Xenopus tropicalis: one gene and its partners. The protein of the gene in region 1 interacts with the protein of each later gene in a pairwise test. Links are inferred from orthologs where the notes say so. Each region holds a gene or a part of one and is shown on either strand. Other genes may lie near its edges.

What was found.
Region 2: the proteins of mos (region 1) and sec24c interact in binary tests that used the Homo sapiens proteins (3 or more experiments, as listed by UniProt). The two-hybrid records come from large-scale screens. The link is inferred for Xenopus tropicalis from reciprocal best matches to the Homo sapiens genes MOS and SEC24C.
Region 3: the proteins of mos (region 1) and mtmr9 interact in binary tests that used the Homo sapiens proteins (3 or more experiments, as listed by UniProt). The link is inferred for Xenopus tropicalis from reciprocal best matches to the Homo sapiens genes MOS and MTMR9.

The regions. Positions count from the first base shown.
Region 1 is NC_030682.2:115,736,105-115,740,297, reverse strand, and holds the start of mos (proto-oncogene serine/threonine-protein kinase mos), read left to right. Parts: upstream 1-1,286; 5' UTR 1,287-1,499; coding exon 1,500-2,567; 3' UTR 2,568-4,193.
Region 2 is NC_030683.2:44,243,156-44,246,915, forward strand, and holds part of sec24c (protein transport protein Sec24C), read right to left. Parts: intron 3,479-3,760; coding exon 3,334-3,478; intron 2,497-3,333; coding exon 2,321-2,496; intron 2,063-2,320; coding exon 1,604-2,062; intron 361-1,603; coding exon 206-360; intron 1-205. UniProt on the Homo sapiens protein: Component of the coat protein complex II (COPII) which promotes the formation of transport vesicles from the endoplasmic reticulum (ER).
Region 3 is NC_030681.2:150,904,490-150,908,249, forward strand, and holds part of mtmr9 (myotubularin-related protein 9), read right to left. Parts: intron 2,020-3,760; coding exon 1,911-2,019; intron 1,108-1,910; coding exon 982-1,107; intron 1-981. UniProt on the Homo sapiens protein: Acts as an adapter for myotubularin-related phosphatases. Increases lipid phosphatase MTMR6 catalytic activity, specifically towards phosphatidylinositol 3,5-bisphosphate and MTMR6 binding affinity for phosphorylated phosphatidylinositols.

The DNA of each region.
Region 1 (4,193 bases):
CTGTGACTTTATCTAGTTGCAGAAATACATCTTTTGCAGGTGCACAGTGTGGGGTGGAAGCAAAAATTATTTTATTTTTATGGGGCGAAATTGGTGATAATTTTGAGTAGCAAACATAAAAAAAATGTATAAACAACACGTAAAACTGTGTATAAGAAAAGGCCATGGCAGTTAGAGTACAAAGTAACACTGTTGTGGGCACACATTTAGCGATACTGACATGAAGAATCCCATTTATATGGCTAATATATATATATTATAGGGCAGCCCATACATCAGGCGCACCCTCCAACCAATCGGCCCTTGGGCTGAATAGGCAGGGACATACATGGTATTGCCATCTTTCTATTGTTCAGATTGTTTTATTTTTTAAATTGTTAAAAAAGCACAGATGATGAGACAGGAGGAAAGGAGCTGTTTGAGCCCCACACACTGGCCAACATGGGGCATCGGCAGATGGGAGCTGCTTGGTTTCTGTGCTGAGTGATGGGCATGTGACTGACATGAGATTGATTCATGCTCATTCCCTGGCCTTGTTGTTTTATTACTACAGGTAATGCACCTATTATCTATAATGCGTTGGAGCCAGGGCCTTCTGGGTAAGGGGTCTTTTTGTAATTTGGGTCACTGTGCCTTCAGGATACTGGAACAGGTCTGGATTGGTACTAAAAATAGGCCCTAGTATTCCAAGTACACAGAGTCCCGTCCCCCCCCTCCACTAAATAATGACTGTCTATGGCAGGGATCCCCAACCTTTTTTTTTTTACTCGTGAGCCACAGTCAAATGTAAAAAGACTTGGAGAGCAACACAAGCACCATAAAAGTTCATGGAGGTGCCAAATAAGGGCTGTGATTGGCTATTAGGCAGCCTCTATGCACACTATCAGCTAACAGGGGGCTTTATTTGGTAGGAAATCTTGTTTTCATTCAACCAAAACTTGCCCCCAAGTCAGGAATTCAAAAATAACTCCCTGGTTTGGGGGCACTGAGAGCAACACCCAAGGGGTTGGGGAGCAACATGTTGCCCCTGAGCCACTGGTTGGGGATCTCTGGCCTATGGCATCTTCAGCAGCCCCTGTGGCATTTGCCAGAATCCACAGATTGTCAGTCTGGCCCTGAACTGGATACATTTATACATGTGCCATTGCTGACTGAATGGGGCCATGTGGCAGCAACTCAGCCCCAGGGGATTAGCGCACACTGTGCGCCTTTGCATTGGGTGCTTTTGGCCCAGCTCTATAGAATACACTGGGAGAAAGCGCTATTTGGCTAATATGATGGATGTGGCTGATTGGGCAGGTTAATATGTATGCGGCTCAGGCAGCTGCAGAAAGGCAAAGTAGAAAGCCCAGTGAGCTGATTGGCGCAGGTGGGCCGCCGGCTGGCTGATTGCGTGTCCCAGCAGAGAGCGGCGCTAGGTACATATACATGAGAGTGCGCCGGCCCCTCCCCCAGTAGCGCTGCATATTACCGGCGCATTAACAGCCCCGCTTTGCACCATGCCTTCCCCTATCCCTGTGGAGCGCTTCCTGCCCCGGGACCTGTCCCCATCCATAGACCTGAGGCCATGCAGCAGCCCGCTGGAACTGAGCCACCGCAAAGTGCCGGGCAGCGGCCGCCACCGCCTCCTCCCTCCCCGCCTGGCCTGGTGCAGTATTGACTGGGAGCAGGTGCGGCTGCTGGAGCCGGTGGGTTCCGGGGGGTTCGGCTCCGTGTACCGGGCCATATACAAAGGGGAGACCGTGGCGCTGAAGAAGGTGAAGCGTTGCACCAAGAACAGCCTGGCCTCCCGGCAGAGCTTCTGGGCCGAACTGAACGCAGCCCGGCTCCGCCATCCGCATGTGGTGCGCGTCCTGGCCGCCAGCGCCTCTTGCCCCGGGGACCCCGGCTGCCCCGGTACCATTATCATGGAATACGCCGGGACCGACACCCTGCATGGCCGTATCTATGGGCGCTGCCCGCCGCTGGGGGCTGCCGTGTGTATGCGCTATGCCCGACACGTCGCCGACGGACTGTGCTTTCTGCACCGGGATGGGGTGGTGCATCTGGATCTGAAACCGGCCAATGTCCTGCTTGCCCCGGGGGGCCTGTGTAAGATCGGGGATTTCGGCTGCTCTCAGAGGCTCCGGGATGGGGATTCTGCTGGGGGGGAGCCGTGTTGCACCCAACTCCGCCATGTCGGGGGGACCTACACCCACCGAGCCCCGGAGCTGCTCAAGGGAGAACCCGTCACTGCCAAAGCCGATATCTACTCGTTCGCCATTACCCTGTGGCAGATGGTGAGCCGGGAGTTGCCCTACACCGGGGACCGCCAGTGCGTTCTCTATGCGGTAGTGGCCTATGCTCTGCGGCCGGAGATGGGCCCGTTATTCAGCTGCACGGAGGAGGGCAGAGCGGTCCGGCACATTGTGCAGAGCTGTTGGGCAGCCCGACCTGAGGAGAGACCGAGTGCCGAGCAACTGCTGGAGAGACTGGAGCAGGAATCTGCCCTGTACAGAGGGGTCTCTTCCTCCCCTAGCGCTCAGTATACCTCCCCTCCTCTTAGCGCTGCCCATAGAGGCCCATAGAGACCCAGCGCAGGGACCCCCTCAGCACTATAGTACAGGATATACAGCCCCAGTACAGGGACCCCCTCAGCACTATAGTACAGGATATACAGCCCCAGTACAGGGACCCCCTCGGCACTATAGTACAGGATATACAGCCCCAGTACAGGGACCCCCTCAGCACTATAGTACAGGATATACAGCCCCAGTACAGGGACCCCCTCAGCACTATAGTACAGGATATACAGCCCCAGTACAGGGACCCCCTCAGCACTATAGTACAGGATATACAGCCCCAGTACAGGGACCCCCTCAGCACTATAGTACAGGATATACAGCCCCAGTACAGGGATCCCCTCAGCACTATAGTACAGGATATACAGCCCCAGTACAGGGACCCCCTCAGCACTATAGTACAGGATATACAGCCCCAGTACAGGGACCCCCTCAGGGCTGCAGCACAGGGCATGTAAACCTAGAACAGGGATCCATTCAGTAACTGTGCCACAGGAGATCTAGCCCCAGTGCAGGACTTATTTTGTACCACTGGCTCCCACAGACTTGGCCATACAGATGCAGTACAGGGATCCACACCAGACTGAAAGAATCCCAGGGATCAGATCAAGTTGCTGGGTTCCACACAGTCATGTAGCAGTGGGCACTAAGGAGACACCTTGCTTGGCCAGAGGGTCTGAATGATGACTAGGTGCTCTGGGATGCCTGTGCCTTGGAATCTGCCCCAGACTACCTGCATTCCAAGCAGCTGAATACTTTGCAGGGACTATAGGAACTGGTTAACACCTGGTGGCACAAACTAACTGCACCTTATGAGACCCGCTGGGTTGGTAGAGCTTTCCCAGGCCAAGACTTGGCATTAGCCATAATGGGTTTCTGAATGTGTGGCACTGAGTCAAATATGTTTTGCACATTTCATTGTCTGCATTTTTATCTTGGGCTTGACTTACTCTTCTGATTTGTGTGGGATTAATTCCTTTTCCTGGGGGCTGTTCACACCAGCTATGTTAGAAGCTACATGCTGGCGCTGTCCTATGATCATTTCAGTAGTGATTGTATTGGCCGGCTAATGTATAAGCCCATACACAGCCACTGTATTCATACAACTGAATTGCATTTAGATCAGTAGCAGGAATGGGCCTATTTTTCAGTGTTTTATGTGTGTCTGGTGTTTTATGTGTGTTCTCTTCTCATATGCACTTTATGATGCTAAATGTAGGAAGCAAGGGTTTCCCTCACAAAATGGTCATGCCATATAGTGCTGTCATTCGTTATCCTTGTTTGGTATTTCATTTTTTTTGTATTGTGGAGGAAACTAGTTACTTGTAAATCCAAGTGCATTCATAGGTAGAAGATTGTGATATTCCTGTCATTTATTATTCCAGACTGTAGGCAGGGATCAGCTGAACCATCGCACTTAAGCCAACAACTAAGCAATTCTGGCAATCTCAGTTCCACAACCACCTATTCTCAGGTAACATAAGTAGAAAGGCCCTTCCCATGATATAGTACAAACTGAGCATCTCGGTGTCCCTTATTTTATATGGGAAATGCTTTCATCCATATTCCCATTCTCCGAGCAGTGAACTGAATTGTACAATTATTGTCCCTACGTGTGATGTTGGTGCAGTC
Region 2 (3,760 bases), on another chromosome or scaffold:
AAATTTCCAGTATTGTAGAATGCAACATACACAAGGTTAAGATACTGTCAAAACAGCTATAAAAAAAAAACATGAATAACGAATAAGGTTTAGTATAGTAATGTGCCTTTAAAATGCTACTCACAAGCATATTAGAAATAAAGTAACTACTTTTTCTATACATTACTGTTTTGTAGAAATGTGTGCAAATTATGGAAATACTTACAGGACTGGGAATGGAATCTGGGTCGAGTCTTTTTTGTGGAGCTGGTGGTGGTGGTGCAGGAGGACCTTGGAGTCCTGGTTGGCTGCCATAGTTTGGAGCACGTGGGTACGTCACAGGATATCCTGGCTGAGGACCCTTGACCTGCCCAAATGAACCTGAATGTGGGAATAAATGGTAATGAATTATATTAAAAATTGTGCTATTCGGGTGTTTACTACCATCCATTCCCTTAAAGGAGAAGGAAAGGCAAAGTCACTTGGGGGTGCCAAAATGTTAGGCACCCACAAGTGACTTAAATCACCTACCTTTTACCCCGGGCTGATGCCCCTGTTAGGAGAGAACAGCACCAGCACGGGGTAGCCGCAGTGCTTCCTCCTTCCCTCTTTGCTCGCGTGAGTGAGTGAAAAGTCAAACTTTAACAGAGAAGTCGGCTTTTCACTCTACTGCGCATGCGCCTGTCGTGTAGTCCTTGCAAAACACAGGTGGAAGGAGTAAGCTCTCCGCTACAGGTACCACGGGCTGGTGTTGTTTTCTCCTAACAGGGGCACAAGCCCGGGGTACAAGGTAAGCGATTAAAGTCACTTGGGGGTGCCTAGCATTTTGGCACCCCCAAGTGATATAGCCTTTCCTTGTTCTTTAACCATAAAAATGACCCTATTAAAATATACAGTTTCATTTATTGTCTGTTAAATAAACTAATAGATGAAAGTAAAGTGTATTTATACACTTATATTTAAAGACACTATTTAAACCACTAGGAATGCAGACATATAGATATATAAGGAAAATGCCTGACAAGGAAAGCAATAACAACTTACTTCTGGCTCCCACTTATAAGGCTAATGCCCCATGGAGGAACTAATCGCCCAAGATAAATCTCTGCTACCAGGCCCACTAATCTCTTCAAAGTGCCTTTCAACCAGCAACAAAGGGTTTCATCATTGGAAAGGCCAACGCATTGCTTTGGTTGAAGTGATGAGTATGCCTTTCCACTGGCGATCCCCTTGCATGCGTGGACTATCATTTGTTAATATAAGCAGTAAAACAGTGAATTTTCAGCCCTCCAAGTGCTAGTTTTCTCTTGCTGTCAAGTAGTCCATATATTATAAAGCAATTGCCCCAAAAATGCTGCATAATGGATAGCCCTGCAGCAGACCCATTTACATATAAATCAATGTGGGTTCAGCATACTCTTTTACAGAACAAAAACATGTCTTTAACTTAGTTTAGTTAACTTAGTTTAGCATCAAGCACCTTGATCTGCATTACTCAAGAAAAGCTTTGCCAGTAATACAATCAAAACACTAAGTGCCAGTACATTACTATTATATGGGATACTTTTATGTAGTACATATACAGATCATAGAATCAAATGTCATCTCCTTTCCAATGACTTACCATTCTGCTGAGAAAATCCATCCTGACTGGATGGCATATGAGGGGGTGGTCCCTGAGGACCAGTCATTGTAGGTATTAGTGGAACTCCAGGCATTGGTGGTTGTGTAGGGGAAGCAAGGTTTGGATGAGCTAATGGGGGAGCAGGTAGAGCCTGTCCAGACAAAGGTGGACCCTGTGTTACTGGTTGTTGAGGACCTCCAGAAGGAGACACATAACTTGGTGGCATTTGAGCAGCTGATGGTGGAGGGAAACCTGGAGCTTGTGAAGAAGGAAGGTTCTGTGGAGGTGGTCCACTGGCAAAACGCTGCTGTGGTGGTTGGCTTTGAGGCAGACTAGTAGGAGGCATTCCCTGTGTCAAATTTATTGGAGGAGGACCTTGGCTATTGGAATATGAAGGTTGAAAGCCGGATCCTGCAGTAGGAAAGTTTCCTGAACTGGGCTGCAGAGGATTCTGAGAACCTGTGGGGGTTGCAAAATATTTGAATTCTTTACAATAAATTACAATGATATAAATGTGTATTAACTCACTTCCCAAACTAGGCATCTGATACATGATATTATAATCTTCTAAATTGCAGAAACACCAGTTAAAAGCTGCAGTGACTAGATTTAAATTCATTCAATATGCAATTAGTGCACCTTTATGCATTAGTGCAACTTTGAGTAGGTAGCTTGAGTCTAAATAGAAAAAAAAATATAATGAATATAAAGAATTACCATAACCCATTGCTGTTGATGTTGGTGTTGATGCTGCAATGTTACCAATTTGCATTCCCATCATTTGATTGGTCAGTTGCTGTTGCTGTGCACTGGCTGATGATGGAGTATATGGCTGAAAACTTGCTGCTTGTGGTCCTGTACCTGGTTGCATATATCGCATTGACACTGGAGGTCTGTGGAAATAAAGATGAATTGATGCATGAAATGAATAATTAAAGAAAAATATTTCATAGGATTGTTGTCATCCATTAAACTTCAAAAGCTCTGAGTCAGATAGGTTTCATGTGTACAGGGTACTTGACACAACAACTCAATTGAGAGTAAACTTCAGGTTAATTACCATTCACATTACAATGCTTTTTCTCCTAAATCATGATAGGCATCAAAAAGGTCTGAAAGGCCAAAAAAAAAATACATAAAGCAAAGCAAAAAGAATATTCTTTCCAGTCATCCATAAAAAAATGAAGTGTAACTATGGAATCTTTTTAACACAAATATATACACATACATGTGTGTGCTACTGTAGGAAACAAACACTTTGCATTAAAGGACAAGGCAACGCAAAATATATTTTTTTGCCTAATAAAAGAAACCAAAATTCTAAGCAACTTTGCAATATACATTTATTACAAGTTTGTAATGGTTTTTGAGTTATTTATATTTATAATTGCTATTAGAAGCAGTGTTTGCCTGTCCTTTTCTAATCTCTGCCCTGGTGGCTCAGACTGTTGAAACAATGTAACACAAGGCAGCAAACTGACAGACCTGTATTGCTGGAGAAGCAAGACCTTTGTAACATTGTTTAAAATGTAACAACCAGGAGTTTAGCAAATGCTGCTTTCAATAGCAATTACATTTACAAATAACATTTAAAGCGCTACAAATTTTTAATTATTTCATATTGGAAAGTTGCTTAGAATTATGTTTTCTTTCATTATGCAAAAAATTATTTTTGTGGTTGACATGCCCCTTAAGACATAAGATATAAGAATGTTGATGGGTATTCATACCTTTGCATCTGATTTGTTACTGGCCCATTGTGTATATCTCCTTGCCCATACTGACTGTACAGCTCCTGTTCAGCTGGAAGAGACTGCCCTGCTATTGTAGGTGCAGCTGATACAGGTGGTGCTCCCATGAGGTTCCCATGATGACCTAAAGCACATTATAAAAATGTATGCAGTTAAAATTAATAAACATAATCAATAGATGTAAATGTAAGATTAAAAAGAAAAATGTATTTATTGAAACTATTTTCTGTTAGTGGTATAAATGACAATTTGCTGACCTAAAGAACAGCAAATAGATAAAAGTGCATGAAGCTGGAAGTTAGTATTCATATCACAATAATATCCTTAGAGGATGCTAAAAGATCTCGTCTCGGATCCACTTCCCACTCTAAAATGAATAGCATAAGCTCAGCACTCAACTGATCTT
Region 3 (3,760 bases), on another chromosome or scaffold:
TTTCAAATAGGGGTCAGTGACCCCGGCAGCCAAAAACTATTGCTCTGTGAGGCTACAGTTTTGCTGTTATTGTTACTTTTTATCACTTATCTTTCTATATAGGCCCTCCTCTATTCATATTCCTGTCTCTCTTTCAAACCACTGCCTTGGTTGCTAGGTTGAATCCAACCCTAGCAACCAGATAGCTGATAATATTCCAAACTGGAGAGCTGTTGAACAAAAGGCTAAATAATTTAATAGCAAATAATTACAAATGAGGACCAAGTTGCAAACTGTCTCATGATAGCGCTGTCTACATTATAATAAAAGTAAAAAGTGATCTACTCCTGTAAGTAAAAAAAGCACAGTTACTATACCAGCAATACCGAGCCACGTTTATCTATGTGGGACACACATTGCCTGTAATTCACTAATACTGACTGTTTGTCCAGCCTCCCCCATATCATGCTGGTACTCCGTGCTTCAGTATAAGCGGGCTTGTGTTTACTACTTAACTGGCCAATCAAAACACAGCACACGTGGCCCCAAAGCAGCACCAGGCAGAACAGTAAGAGGGTGCATGGGGGTGCAGGGAATTAGGCAGAAATGTTATTTTATTAAAGTACATGGAACAATACGGAATGTGTGTGGCAAAAAGACACTCATTATTATCAGTCCTACTTGCTCACTTCCTTCCTCCCTGTACATCACTGCAAGTTACCCCTACAGACACAAGCTGACAATTACGATAAAAAGCCGCTATCTGTCAGCAAGTGGCACAGTTTCTCTGGATAGGGTGCATGGCCCAGGCCTGATAAGCTGTCAGCTTGGCACCGTGGCATGGCACCACCAGAGAATGCAGCATTATCGCTATATCCTTATAATAAAGACAGGGAGTTAGAGACACTAACAAGTCCAAATAAGCATAACCTCAGAGCTTACAAAATAAAAGCAAAGGCACAAAAAGGAATGATACCATTGGCTACAGAGAAGCCCACTTACCTCTAGGGCCAGTTGCTCAAATTCTTGCTCAGGGAGAAACAGGCTCCACCCATTCTCTGTTACCTCAAACATGGGCCGGTAGAAGAAGGGGTACATCAGAGTGACGGAATCCAGGGTAGACAGGGCCTGCGCGGGTCAGCAAAAACAGGGCGTTAGTGATGCTAATGTGCCAACACTAATGGTGGCCACACATGGGCCAAGGCCTCAGAAAGAGGGAGCTGCTTACTGGACGCTGAAAGGACAATGAACCCCCTGACAAATATCTGGCAGGTTTGAAAAGGCCTTTGGATGAGGACAGCACCGGGGCATTGCAGCAGGCATAACAGACCTTGCACAGGTCCCTATTGTCATCCAATTACAGTCAGATTTAAACCTATATACTTAGTAGACAGGTCAGAGTCTAAAAGCATAATATAGAGCGAGCACTGCCTGCTGCCTCCTGTATATTTGTATTTATAGTCTTGATGTGGAGCTGCCATGCCGATTCCCATCTATCAATTTATACATACAAATATACAGAGATGGAATGTTCTGGGCACACAATAAGCTGTACCCTACTGGAAACAAAATGGCAGCACTCATCTCTATATAAGTTTGTTGAAAAAGAGAAGGACTGATTTGGGCTTAGAGGAGGGTGGAACCAACAAAGTCAGTTCTGACTGGACAAGGGAGGCCTAAGATATATGCACTGGGCTACTGGCTGCGGCCAGGGATACAGTAGCCACATGTATATATGAAGCTAGAGTTGAAAGAAAAAGTTTGGGGTGTCAGAGATTTTACAGCTCTGAAACTGTTGACAGACGACCTCTATCTAATGGCTAGTAAGGCCTAATGAGGTAAGGAGACCTTGTAAGAACAGTTTCACTGAATAAGTGGAAAGGGGTCCAAACTTTGTACAGCGGCAATGACAAATAAAAGGTCTTTCTTACCTCAATGGAGCTTGCGATGTTCAGGCACTCCTCCATTCCACTGATTTCCAGCTGGATTATCCGCAGGTCCTTACTTTTAATGGTGATGGTTCCAGATGTGCCCACAAACCTGTAATATATACTGAGAGGTCAACAAAAAATTCTGCCATGGCTTTATATGGGCACAGAACCTCTCAGTGACTGCTAATATCCTTATCATTTACAGTAGGGGGTACATTATCCCTTATAATACATGAGTGATACTCAGAGTTCCCTGTATAACTCAGCCTGCAGCCTTGTGCCTTTATATGGGCACAGAACCCCTCAGTGACTGCTAATATCCTTATCATTTACAGTAGGGGGGACATTATCCCTTATAATACATGAGTGATACTCAGAGTTCCCTGTATAACTCAGCCTGCAGCCTTGTGCCTTTATATGGGCACAGAACCCCTCAGTGACTGCTAATATCCTTATCATTTACAGTAGGGGGTACATTATCCCTTATAATACATGAGTGATACTCAGAGTTCTGTGCCCATATAAAGGCACAAGGCTGCAGGCTGAGTTATACAGGGAACTCTGAGTATCACTCATGTATTATAAGGGATAATGTACCCCCTACTGTAAATGATAAGGATATTAGCAGTCACTGAGGGGTTCTGTGCCCATATAAAGGCACAAGGTTCTGTGCCCCCCATATAAAGGCAGTGCTGTCCAACTTCTGCGGTGCCGAGGGCCGGAATTTCTCTCGCATACATGGTGGAGGGCCGCTAATGGAAGCCAGTTTTGGCCACTCCCCCATTTTAAACCACACCCATTTTATCACAATGGTCGCTGCAGGGATATCAACCATCATTCATATGTTAAAGAATTATATTATGTCATATTAAGACATACCCTTAAATCCATATGCCTCCTCCCCTGTGTGTAGCACAGCAACCCCCAGCACATAATTACACACCTTAGGGACCATATAATGACTATTTCCAACTGCTAACAAACTCCCACAAACCCCTGCCAGGTTCACCTCCCACAGGCAGCATAGGGTAGGCAGAGTATGGCACACACAGGCAGCACTCTGCCTGTCCTATGCTGCCTGTGTGTTCCATACCCTCCCTGCCCTATACTGTCTATGTACCATACTATGCCTACCCTATGCTGCCTGAGTGTGCCATACCCTCCCTGCCCTTAATGGTGATGGTTCCAGATGTGCCCACAAACCTGTAATATATACTGAGAGGTCAACAAAAAATTCTGCCATGGCTTTATATGGGCACAGAACCTCTCAGTGACTGCTAATATCCTTATCATTTACAGTAGGGGGTACATTATCCCTTATAATACATGAGTGATACTCAGAGTTCCCTGTATAACTCAGCCTGCAGCCTTGTGCCTTTATATGGGCACAGAACCCCTCAGTGACTGCTAATATCCTTATCATTTACAGTAGGGGGGACATTATCCCTTATAATACATGAGTGATACTCAGAGTTCCCTGTATAACTCAGCCTGCAGCCTTGTGCCTTTATATGGGGGGCACAGAACCCCTCAGTGACTGCTAATATCCTTATCATTTACAGTAGGGGGTACATTATCCCTTATAATACATGAGTGATACTCAGAGTTCCCTGTATAACTCAGCCTGCAGCCTTGTGCCTTTATATGGGCACAGAACCTCTCAGTGACTGCTAATATCCTTATCATTTACAGTAGGGGGTACATTATCCCTTATAATACATGAGTGATACTCAGAGTTCCCTGTATAACTCAGCCTGCAGCCTTGTGCCTTTATATGGGCACAGAACCCCTCAGTGACTGCTAATATCCTTATCATTTACAGTAGGGGGGACATTATCCCTTATAATACA